Linked DNA regions of Cricetulus griseus. The protein of the gene in region 3 purifies or fractionates together with the protein of the main gene of each other region. This does not show direct contact. Links are inferred from orthologs where the notes say so. Each region holds a gene or a part of one and is shown on either strand. Other genes may lie near its edges.

Evidence for each region.
Region 1: the proteins of Vsx1 (region 3) and Wdr20 purify together in Homo sapiens (affinity purification with mass spectrometry; 3 studies listed by BioGRID and IntAct, with this or other methods). This does not show direct contact. The link is inferred for Cricetulus griseus from reciprocal best matches to the Homo sapiens genes VSX1 and WDR20.
Region 2: the proteins of Vsx1 (region 3) and Usp12 purify together in Homo sapiens (affinity purification with mass spectrometry; 3 studies listed by BioGRID and IntAct, counting the BioPlex papers as one, with this or other methods). This does not show direct contact. The link is inferred for Cricetulus griseus from reciprocal best matches to the Homo sapiens genes VSX1 and USP12.

The regions. Positions count from the first base shown.
Region 1 is NC_048598.1:183,239,037-183,243,450, forward strand, and holds part of Wdr20 (WD repeat-containing protein 20), read right to left. Parts: intron 1,568-4,414; coding exon 1,385-1,567; intron 1-1,384. UniProt on the Homo sapiens protein: Regulator of deubiquitinating complexes. Activates deubiquitinating activity of complexes containing USP12. Anchors at the base of the ubiquitin-contacting loop of USP12 and remotely modulates the catalytic center of the enzyme.
Region 2 is NC_048597.1:82,584,615-82,589,028, reverse strand, and holds part of Usp12 (ubiquitin carboxyl-terminal hydrolase 12), read left to right. Parts: intron 1-1,220; coding exon 1,221-1,297; intron 1,298-1,402; coding exon 1,403-1,486; intron 1,487-4,414. UniProt on the Homo sapiens protein: Deubiquitinating enzyme that plays various roles in the regulation of the immune response and inflammation.
Region 3 is NC_048599.1:29,003,170-29,006,891, forward strand, and holds the end of Vsx1 (visual system homeobox 1), read left to right. Parts: intron 1-246; coding exon 247-370; intron 371-1,255; coding exon 1,256-1,436; intron 1,437-2,579; coding exon 2,580-2,872; downstream 2,873-3,722. UniProt on the Homo sapiens protein: Binds to the 37-bp core of the locus control region (LCR) of the red/green visual pigment gene cluster. May regulate the activity of the LCR and the cone opsin genes at earlier stages of development. Dispensable in early retinal development.

The DNA.
Region 1 (4,414 bases), on a different chromosome or scaffold from region 3:
AGGCTGAGCAACAAGGTGGAGACTGGAACCCAAAGGTCCACCTCATCAAGTCTACTTCACCTCTGCCATTTTCTAGTTAAGTCACACTGAAACAGGAGAGAAAGAGCATCAAATATGTGGTAATACTTGGAACTGAAAAGCCACTGTAATGGCTTAAATAAATACAATCTATTTGGCAACTTCTGTCTGCTACGTAAAAATCCCAATATATTTCTGAATAGGTACGTCAGACAGTTCAAGCTCCTGCCTGAATGGAACTGAAGACACATCAGAAACCCCAGTGGCAAACCTTGTGGCTTGTGATTCAGTTTTAGGTTCCAGGAATCCTAACCATGCCAAAGGTAATTGTAGAAGAAATTTCAAGAGCATGAGCTTAACCCTTAGCATTCCAAACGTTTGTCAAATGCACACAGAAGTTTAAGGTATAATGTAAGTAGTGTTAAGGCATGTCACCAAGTCATTCCATCTATGTGTAATTCTTTAGTGACCTGGAGAATGACTGAAATTCTGTATTTTATTTGAAATATGCATATAGCGGGCGTTGGTGGCACACGCCTTTAATCCCAGCACTCGTGAGGCAGAGGCAGGCGGATCTCTGTGAGTTTGAGGCCAGCCCAGTCTCCAGAGCGAGTTCCAGGACAGGCTCCAGAGCTACACAGAGAAACCCTGTCTCAAAAAACCAAAAAAACCAAACAAACCAAAAAAAAGCATATCAACAGCTGGGTATGGTGGCGCACACCTTTAATCTCAGCACTTGGGAGGCGAAGGCAGACAGATCTCTGTGAGTTCCAGGTCAGTCAGGGCTACACAGTAAGACCCCGCCTCAAAACAAAACAGAAATCACATCTCAAGTTACCAATATGCTTGTCTCCATCACAGAAATGACGTGTGTGCACATACACACATGTGCACAGGAGGCACACACCTGAGGAGACACTGTTTTGTGTCTTTATTTCTTGAAACAGGTTCTCTTGGAGCTCACTGACTGTCATCTAGACTAGCTGAGTGGTGAGTCCCTGGCATCCTTCTGTCTCCACTTCTGTGGGCTGGGATTCAAGACAACTGGCCATGCCTGGCTTTATGTGGGTGCTGGAAATCCCAAGTGACACTGTACCCACTGAGCCATCTCCCCAGTCACCATGCAGAGGGATTAAGGTATCTGTGTAGATGGCTGGTCATTCTCTGCACAAGTTCACAACTATGACCTTAAGGAAAAACAAGCTCAAATACTAACCTACAACATTTAAACTTGCATGATATGAGGTAAGGACTGCAGAGCAGATGAAAACCGATCAGCTCAACATGTAAACTAAGGCCCGCTACCCTTGAGTAAGAACAGAGCAACTCTTACAGGGGTCAACAGCTCAGGTGGGGTGCTACTTACTTCCTCATTAAACAGCTTGCTAGTTTCTTTTTTGATGGGGTCTATGAGCTGGACTTGGCCTGCGGAAAAGCCCACTAGGAGAGAGACACTTTCTGCTGTGGCTGTTAGGTGGTTGAAGTCATGACAGGTAGGCTGTGTTCCTTTGTATATCCTTTTATCTATTGGTTTACTCAAGTCAGCAGCCTGGAGGAGAAAGAAAAATAAATACAGTAAACAGCACATTGAGATGAGCAAGCTAAGTTCAACTATTTTATACTCCATTATGAACTTCAATTTTAAAAACAAAGTTATTTAAAATATTGCTTCAACTGTGACTTAAAATAACTCACTTCATATTTTATAAAAGCAATTTCACATATGTAGCCAACTAGATAGTCTATCTATAAAATATTCATTTGTGACTGTTGTTTCCACAATTTTTCGTCTTTCAAATATGTGTAACAAGGACTCCCCAGTTTCAGAAAGAAAACGTCTCTGATCCTAAATTCCATTTTTCCAAATGTCTTCCAAGAATTCTAATAGAGTAAGTCAGTGCATACACAACACAACTCAGGTATGTCTACAGTACCCGAGTACCCACTGCCCAGCTACCTAGAGCTAATGGTGCTCAAAATGTGTACAGACTGGCAGGCAGCAGCATCAACTGGAAACTCAAAATACAAATTCTCAAACCCCTTCCCAGACCCTGTGCATTAGAAATAACGGGAGTAACCCACAATCGCAGTTTTATAAGGCTCCCAGGTGATGGGGTGCCCCCGGATGCATCAAGATCTGAGAAGCTCTGCCGGGGGCTTCTCTCTCTGCTGCCGTCACCTCACTGCTTACAGCAACCCTGTAACATCCTACATCGAGAGCAGTCACTGTCCTGCCTGGCTAGTGCTGATCATAAGCAGATGGGGAGAAAACAGATTGGAAGCACTGTAAGGTCAATGTGTCTGCACGCCATACCCTTAAATCTTTTTTAACATTTATTGTGCGTGTGCACACAGAGGTGCCATAGGGAGCATACAGGTCAGTGCTCTAACTCCATGAGGAGGGTCATGCAGACTCAACTCAGGCCACTAGGTTTCCCTTTTTTCCAAGAAATGTCCCATGTAAGTGCAATAAACTAGGTTGTTTCTATTGAACGAAGGCAAGCCATATCCCCTATGTTTAAAAATCATAGGTGGAGGGCCTGTGAAAAAGCTCAGTAGGTACCAGTGCTTGTCAACAAGCCTAATGACCACACACGCACACTCCTACACAGACACACTTAAGTACATACAAAGGAAAAGATAAAACTGCAGGTGGAGACAACATCACTCCTATGCATGCCTCTCTCTCAGTCTGTTCTTTACTTCAGGCCCCAGTTCCCTGCTTCCGTCCAAAGGGACCTGTGGTACTTTATACGACTTAACTCTGTTTGCTTCTCAAGTAACAAATACTGAGTAGAAAAGAGGACTTCAAAATTGTGAGTGACTTTGAGCAAGCTAGAAACAGAGGGTTTCACAGCTAGTACCCGAGAGGGCTGTGTGGTCATGGGAGCCCAGCACAAAAGAGGCAGGCTACCCTCCCAGCTTTGCCTCCGTTAAAGCACAGCTGAGGTGCTCACCTTTAATCCCAGCACTTGAGAAACAAAGGCAGGCAAGATCCCTGAGTTCGAGGCCAGCCTGATCTATAGAGTGAGTGCCAGGATATGTATGCTCCAAAGCTGCACAGAGAAACCCTGTCTCGGAAAAAGAAAAAGAAAAAGATTCATGTCCTCAAATGGACAGAACTAGGGAAAAAAAAAATCCTGAGTGAGGTAACTCAGACCCAAAAAGACAAATATAATATGTATTGACTCATTAGACATAAAGCAAAGGATAACCCAGGATACAGTCCATAACCCCAGAGAGCCTAGGCAACACAGAGGACCCTCAGAGAGACATAGACATATCTGCCTAGTTAGGGGAGCATGAGAGGCATGGGGGCGGGGGGCGGGGGATAGTGGAAGAGGGAAGAGGAGTGGGGGGAAGTGTATAGCTCAATAAAAACAAGGTTAAAAAAAGAATTATGGCCAGGCATTTGTGGCGCACACCTTTAATCCCAGCACTCGGGAGGCAGAGGCAGGTGGATCTCTGTGAGTTCGAGGCCAGCCTGATTTCCAGAGCGAGTGCCAGGAAAGGCTCCAAAGCTACACAGAGAAACCCTGTCTCGAAAAACAAAACAAAACAAAAAAAAAATTCATTTTGGGCTGGAGAGATGGCTCAGAGGTTAAGAGCACCGACTGCTCTTCCAGAGGTCCCGAGTTCAATTCCCAGCAACCACAAGGTGGCTCACACCATCCATTATGAGATCTGGCGCCCTCTTCTGGTGTGCACATATACATGGAAGCAGAATGTAGTATACATAATAAATAAATAAAATCTTAAAAAAAAAAAATGTGTCCCATTGATTTCCAGCCTCAATAGAGTACCCACAATATCACAGACACTCAATATTTACTGAAGGAGCTATAGTTACTCTTGATTGTAGTCACTGTTCGGACAGCATACTAGTTCTGCACATGATGAGTTACTGATCACAAAATAAAGTGTCAGTGTATCCGTATACTCATTAGCTCAATTTAGTAAAAACCTTCAAGTAATGCTTTAAAAATACATACTTGCCAGGCACAGTGGTGATGCCAGAGCAGACAGAGATCTTAGCACTTGGGGAGCAGAGCAAGCTGACCAGAAATTCAAGGTTATCCTCAGTTATAAAGAGAGCTGGAGGTCAGCCTGGTAAAATGAGATCTTGTCACAAAATAACAACAAAATTCAAAGCTAGTGACTAACTTATGCCATTTGAGTCTGGTCTCAAACAACACAAAACCCAAATCCAAACCAACATCCCTCGATCCAGGCTAAGGCCAGAAATTCACAAATTCCAGGCTAGCCTGAGCTTTAGTGTGACACCCCATTTCAAAAAGAAACAAATGCAAATTTAAACCCCCAGCTCTGGTGTCCACACCCGAATTCTCAGCACTTGGAAGGCTGTGTCACTCAATCAAGACCAGTCAGGGCTCAA
Region 2 (4,414 bases), on a different chromosome or scaffold from region 3:
GTCTTCAATGAAACAAAATAGTTACTTGTTGAGAAGTGTAGTAATAGGTGAGATTTATATGGTAGATTTGGGACCTCCAGAGGCCTCTGGGAGACTTGTGGAGTGCTCTGCCAGGACTTTGAAGTCAGGTTTGTATTGGATGGGGGAGGATAGAGAAGAAACAGTTGAAGGAGGTGGTGACATCAGCCATTCTGTTCAAAGTGTTTGAATGTTTATTCATGTTATTAACTCTTAAGGGGTGGGCTCTGTTTTTCTACTAGTAAGTTCTTCTGTGGCCTGCAGTATGTATTGCAGAGAACTTCCTTAAACTAAGCCAGCAGTATGCATATTCACAAGTAATCATGTTCCTGCCGTTATAAGCTAGCGGGGTGAAATCTGGGCTCTTTCCAGAGTGTGTAAATGTACATCACTTCTTTCTTTGGTCTCACCCACATTTAAGAAGCAGCCCTGCCAGAAAGAAGGGGAGAGGAGAATGGTAGATGGTTGTTAGGCTGGGAGTCTGACCCCCAAGATGCCTAGCAGGAACAAAGACCGCCCAACAGTGTCCAGACAGGGTTAGAGCAGAGGCAGGGATGGCCTGCATAGATCCTATCAGGAGTAAGTGTGCAGTGAGTGCAGTGGGAGTGTCGAGGGGGAACCAGCTGCCCGCAGGAGCTAACTGGGGCAGGCTGCAGCTCTGCCCTGCTCTATGAAGGTTACTCTAACCTGAATTCCTTGCCTTGCCTTTCTACATTTTTCTCCTTAAATGTGGGTGCTCTGTGAATTTCATTGTATGTCGGTTGTCATTCTGCATCAGGGACATGGTGTTCCATGTTCATTATCACACGTCCCAGTGAGTCCCATCCGGATGGATCTTCTGACATGAGGATCTAGTTCACTGCACTGGGCATGTTCAGAAGTGAAATGCTGCCTCACCGGTGACAGCCTGTGCTTCTCAGAACCACAGTGTGATACCGTGTACTTCACACATCACCGCCCCAGGAAGCTGTGAAACTCTTCTTCCTGGCCTCAGCCAGTCAGATGCTTAGGGGACTTTGATGTCTTCCCATACAGGAGATGTGACAGGTGGACACTGGTTCGCTGCCTTTTAGGTACTCCAGACCAAGTAGTTGTCTTTTGAGCGTAAGGAGGAAGAATTGCTTAGTCTGTTGGTAGATTCATTTAACCTATCAGCTGGAAACTGTGGTTCCTGGCAATTGAAATAACTACTGTATTTACAGATAAGCAGCAAAGATGAAGATTTTTTAGACCTTTCTGTTGACGTGGAACAAAACACATCAATTACTCACTGCTTAAGGTTTGTGTAGAAGTATTTCTTTTGCAATTTAATATTTACTTTTGGCATAGAATATTAAGTGAATTTTTCAAGTATACCTAACAAGTTCATTTGCATTTTTCACAGAGGTTTTAGTAACACAGAAACTCTGTGCAGTGAATATAAATACTACTGTGAAGAGTGCCGAAGCAAACAGGAAGCACACAAACGGTAATTTAGTGTCTTCTAAGTTAGATTGTATTATTGTGTGTACGCATGTGTGTGCAATAGCACCATGGTTAGATTGTATTATTACTGTGAGTGTGTGTGATGGCACCATGGTTAGATTGTATTATTACTGTGAGTGTGTGCAATGGCACCATGGTTAGATTGTATTATTATTGAGTGTGTGTGATGGCACCATGGTTAGATTGTATTATTACTGTGAGTGTGTGCAATGGCACCATGGTTAGATTGTATTATTATTGTGAGTGTGTGCAATGGCACCATGGTTAGATTGTATTACTATTGTGAGTGTGTGCAATGGCACCATGGTTAGATTGTATTACTATTGTGAGTGTGTGCAATGGCACTATGCACAGAGATCAGAACACTGCATTCAGGAGTCTGTTACCATCTAGGGATTGGACTTAGGTTTCAGGCTTGCATGGCAAGCTGTTTTACCCACTGAACTATTTTGCCAGTCTCTTTTGAAATTATTTGAATGATTCTTTGGCCATAGATGTTGAGGGTAGTCTTTTCTATCTGAAAGTGATCTGCAGAAGTGTATGTATGTACATTGAATGCTCATTCTTAGGGGTGTGTATGTGTGTGCAGAGGCAGAAGAGGACATTGAACATTGGGTTTTCTGTTCCATTGCTCTCTGCCTTATTTTCCCTCTGACAGGGTCTGTTACTGAACCCGAGCTCAGTTTTGTGGATAGCCATCCAGCCAGCAAGCTCACGTGATACTTCTGTCTCTGTGCTTACCTCCCCCCCCCCGTGTGTGTGTGTTGTGTGTGTGTGTGTGTGTGTGTGTGTGTGTGTGTGTGTGTTGCAGGGTCTCGCTATGTAGTCCGGACTGCCTTAGAACTCCCTGTGTAGACCAGGCTGTCTTCAAACTCAGATCTGTCTGCCTCTGCCTTCTGAGTGCTGGGATTACAGCGTACACCACCATACCTTTCTCTGGGTTTTGTTCTTTTTTAAACACATGGATACTAGGGATCCAAACCCAGGTTCTCATGTTTGCATAGCAAGCATTCTTATCTGCTGAGCCATCTCTCCAGTCCCATATTCTTAATGTTAGTGTTAGCAATTAAGGCTCAGTGAGAATTGCTAGATGAGCAATGCCCAGTCTGGAACCATATATCTATGATTCATATCACCAGTTTTTTGGCTTAGATGTCTTAGAAAGGAGTCTTGCAGATATGTATCTTGTTAAGTGTCACATATTTGTAGTATGTCTTGGGTGTTTGAGTGTCCCTGTGCTTATGATTTTCTAGGACTTGGTACCTGGTATATAGTCATGCTCACAGTTAAGATTATCACAGAAAAAGATACAGAGCAAAGGGCAAAGCCAGGCAGGCTTCCAAGAGGCCCTGATCCAGTGAAGTGACACAGGACACCGAATTTCCCCTCTCTTAATGATATCATGGGAAGCTCTTTGCGGGCTCCATGCCCAGGGTTCCTATATGTACTTGTCACATAGGCAAATGCCTGTGCTACCTTGCTCCAAATTCCAGGATCTCAGAAGGGGAGCAGGTATTCAGAATAATACTGATCAAGCAGTTGGGGCCCAGGGGGTTAACTGACATACATGGGATTTGAGGTGCTCCTTAGCTCCCAAGTGCCCAAGTGCCGCTTACTGTACCAGTCCTAGAGCCAGGCTTCTTGGGGGTGGGCTGGCCATTCTGAATCTGCACATATGACACTGCTGTTGCCTCTGCCACTGAACTCTCAGTTAAGATGATTCCTGTAATTCTGCATGTAAACTACACTTTCCCCTGTTGTAATTTTTAAGTACTTAGTGTAGAGATATGCAAAGATTGCAAATACTTCATTCTTCATTAAACTGCCATTTGAAAAACTTCAGGTACACTCAGACATCCCTGTTGGAGTGGGTTATCATTTACTACTGTTCTGTGTCCCTGTAACTACAGTTCAGCTGATGGTGAGGGAGGTCTCTGGTGGCTCTTCTGCCCCACTGTCTCATCACGTTCTGAGCTCAGCTGAATTTCTTGTACTTACCTTGAAACGAGCCATTTCTGTGAAGGGCCCTGGTCCTGTTCAGGGAAAGTGACATTCGAAAGCCAGGGCTCCATGAATGTGTGCCTTGCTGTTCAGATGTCACTATTCCTGAGCCCTTCCTGAACTGAGCAGAGGATGTACTCAAAACTGAATGGGCTTCATTGCGATGTCTCCTTTTTAACTTTTGGAATCCCCTCTCTGATAGTGAAGATTGGCTCTGTCATCTTTGTTTTTTGGTTGGTAGCCATATAAGTAACCAATCTCTTTCCCAGCCTGACCCTCTTCCATTCCTCCTGCTGATGCCCTCAGTCTGCAGCACCTCCCTTCTTTGCTTACACAGACTGCTCTTTTTTTGAGCCCATATAACAGTCCAACTGTATTGCTCATAAAAGGAAGAAAAGTAAGCCAAAAATGGGGCATGGAGCAGTATAGGAGTCAAAGTGAACATGTAAAGTCCCAATGGACAGTTGGATAGAATAAATGGGAGCTTTGCTTTTAAAAGAATTGTTTATTGAGTGAGGATTGTAAGGCAACCTTGGGAGAAATAGCATTGAAGAAGAAAGCAAATACTATATTAGAATGTTTCACAATTAAAAGCCAAATTTAGTCCCAGCTTATTTTATGCCCTTCTGGAGCCTGGTGATTTTTACTGTGGCAAACACTCTGAGTTAGTCTTGAATACTGTTGTGGGAGTTTCCTTGGGGAGATAATCATTTGCTACCCAGCTCAGCTCCTGAAGACTGACCAAGGAAATCCCACCATCTAGCTTGGTGTCGCACTGAGTTTGTTGGCGGTGACTCCATGGGGCATGGCTGATGACTTAGGAAAATTAAGTCCCTGGACCCCCGCTCAGCGCTCAGGCAGTCCACATGAAGTCTTCTCTTTGTCCATGTAATTACAGTTCTTACGGAGA
Region 3 (3,722 bases):
GGCTTCTGGGCCTGTCTTTCCTCGGGTGGACACAACCCTACTGTCTTTGAGAACAGTGTCTGAGAATGTATAGAGGGCCCAGCATTCTACTGGTGGGTAGTGAGCACTACATAGCCATTTTCAAGATGACCTGTAATTCCCAGGAGGCTACAGGGAAATCTCCACAATTCTAAAGACATGGTTTTGTGGGTTTGTAAATGGGTTTTATCTCTGGCACATTTCATGTGTATTTCTGGCTCTCTACAGGACAGTTTTCACTGCCCATCAACTGGAAGAACTGGAGAAGGCATTTGGTGAGGCTCACTACCCTGACGTGTATGCCCGGGAAATGCTCGCTGTGAAAACAGAGCTCCCCGAAGACCGAATACAGGTGTGGAGTGGTGTCCTTTCTCTTTTCTTTAACCTACCCTCAGATAGTACACAATTTGTGAGCCATCAAGATGGCCTAGTGGGGTAAGGCACCTGCCACCAAAATGATTTACACCTGAGTTGGATCCCTGGTACCCACTTGGGAGGAGAGCACTAATTCTTGTAAATTTTCTCTGGCATCATTATGTGTGCTGTGTCACTCCAACATCTAAACTCATGCACACAAAATTAATGAAAAATGGTGTTTCAAAAAAAAAATCACACAATTTGTATGCTGGACTGGAAAACTGCATGAAGACATATCAGCAAAAATGTTTAGCTCTCGTCTTTAGTTCTTAAAGACATCACCATATGCGTCCAGCCTGAGTAGGTGCCACACGGTGCTGCCAGTGTGTCATAGGGTATCCATCCTGAAAGTTCTCTTGTGCTGGCGGATGTGCTCTGTTGGAAGAGTTGCCAGTGACTTGCTGCCCTAAGCTTCAGGTTATCGTGTATTGTTTAAATTAATGCACTTTTCTTCAGGAGAAATAGCAGCAGTCCATCAGTCTGAGATTTGAAGGGGCCATTGCCCCTGCAGACCTCCTAAACAGAAAAATCAGGAAACACAGGGGGCCGCCCCTTCATAAACACCCTGCAGGAAAGGGTCCTTTTCATTCTTTATTTTTGCTTCCTGGCTTCTTAGAAAATTTCACAGGAAGCGACTCCTGTCTCATCCTCATGATGCTGTGTCCATGCAGGTTTGGGGGGCTGCTTTCAGGCCTGTGGGTGGGGGACAGGCCTTTTGTTTGTAGACCCAGAGTCCTGGAGCGCACGCGTGCCCCTCCAGGCACCCCTTTTCATAGTGTCTCTCCTTGAGCCTCTCGGACTCCCCTCTGCCTCTAACCAGGTCTGGTTCCAGAACCGGAGAGCCAAGTGGCGTAAGCGAGAGAAGCGCTGGGGAGGCAGCAGCGTGATGGCTGAGTATGGACTCTACGGGGCCATGGTGCGCCACTGCATTCCGCTGCCAGATTCTCTGCTCAACTCGGCGGCGGATAGCCTGCAGGGCTCCTGTGCGCCCTGGCTTCTGGGTAAGCCAGGCTAAGAACAAAGCCAGAGAGTTGGGCGGGGACCTTACAGGAGATTTGCAAGAGCAAAGCAGGAGAGGTCTCAGATTTAGGCCCAGTCTGGACTCTAATTTGTCTTTAATTAGCCTTAATTTTCCTTGGAACTGTGGAGGCAGTGTGTGGGATAGTCCTCATAGGCTACTCATATTGGTCAATATGTATTCAAAACTTATAAATAGAGAGACTTGCCTTGTGTTTGATACATACTTTCAAAGTGGTGAATGCTACTAGAGAGTTTAGAAACTATATGGTTTAGAGTGCAAGGTTTATAGGACCACGCAGAGCAGAGACAATCTAGAGCAGTCCCTTCTGTTGGCACCACTGAAGTAATAGGCCAGGTCTTGGGCCTGATTTAACAAACCTGCCCTAGGGTAGTGCCTCACTGGTAGGGCCAAGCCCTTTCTGGTGCTTACCCTTGATGATCTGTTGGGGTTCAGAGTTGAGATTTCAGAGGCTTGAGTCACAAGATGATCACTACCAGAAAATTAGTTAGGTGGGTCATAGTGGGATTTTAGGTTGGGAAAGTCCAGCAAACAGCTTTCTGGCTAGGTGCTGTGCTGAGAACTGAGAACAGCCTGGACTTTGCCTAAGGACCAAAGAGATTAGAGAGAAGTGGGGATGGAGAACCAATGCCCATGTCACAAATAGGGGTACTTGCTGGCATGGGACTTCAGTCATACAAGCAAGTGAGTTTAGTGCTAAACTAGGGTCACTTTGTTATTCAAGCAAATGCAAAGTTACTGTGTGACCCAACAAAGCAATTTTGCAAGAGTGACAGCTGGTGGATAGGGTCTTCTCCACCCCAATGATGGTGGCTCTCCTCTAGGCTCTAGACCAGCACTGACAAAGAAAATTCTAGTGATAGAAATAATAGTGGTAAGAAAGGAATATATTTACTTGCTGAATTTAAAGATATTTTTTTGAGCCTGGTGTGGTGGCACATGCCTTTGATCTGAGTACGTGGGATAGAGGCAGGTGGATCTCTGTGAGTTTGAGGTCAGCCTGTTCTACATAGCAAGATCCAGGACAGTTGGAACTGCACAGACAGACCCTGCCTCAAAACAAAACAAAGCAATTTTTGTTGTTGTTGTTGATTTTATTTTCCAGGGATGCATAAAAAGTCTGCAGGAATGAGGAAACCAGAAAGTGAAGACAAGCTAGGAGGACTCTGGGGTTTTGACCACATCAAGGAGGGTGCTAATAAGGGCCAGGATGGACCTGAAAAAGGCCCAGATAAAACAAGCCTGGACCCCGAGGATAGCTTGGAAGATGTGGCCATTGACTTGTCCAGCTCTTCTAGGCAGGAGACGAAGAAAATGCCCCCGGAGTCCAATGCTCAGGGATGTTCCCATGACCCAGGGCTGCAGGTGCTCCAGCCCCCAAAAGTGGAATCCTCATGAGACCAACAGATCACCCCCTCCAAAAATAGGAAAAATGCATATTTCTCTTGAACAATTTTTGGAGACAAAACTGGTCTAAGACAAACACCTTCAATTTGGTTTTCTTCCTGAAACATCTGGATAAATGGTGATCTAGGGAAAGTTCCATTTAATTCTAGAATGGAGAACATTCGTACAAGCTCTTGAATTAGTCAATTTGGTCTAAAACTTTGTTATTCCTTTGTAGAATTTGAACAGGGAAGATTTGAAGTTCACACATAATTTTAGGGATGGGGTATGATGTAGCTCAGTTGACAGTACACAGGAAAGCCTGGGGCCAGTCCCCAGCACCACATGTAAGATGTGGTATTGTACACCTGTAGTCCCAGTACTCAGTAGGTAGAAATAAGGGATCAGGTGTTCAAGACCATCCCAGTTTTAGGTCAACCTGGGCTATACAAGATCTGAGAGAGACAGATAGATAGATAGATAGATAGATAGATAGATAGACAGACAGACAGATAGATAGATATTATTACCACCTGTATCATTTGAGATGTGATTCAATCATTAAGAGGGCTCTTCACTCCAAGTTAGAACATTTGGTTTGGTTTAATGAGACAGGGTCTTGCCGTGCAGCCCAGGTTGGCTTCAATTTTGGATCTCTTGCCTCAGCCTCTCCAGTACTGGGGTTACAGGTGTGAATATAATTCCTAGGAGAAGTTTCTAAACAGATGAATAAATGAATGAATGAATGCTATGTCACCTTTCCTTGACCTGGCTCTTAGACATTCTCATTTTCATGGTAGGCAGTAATTTTGTATTCTGAGTGTTAAGTGATAGGCCTTGAATATTCAGTGCTTAAACAGCA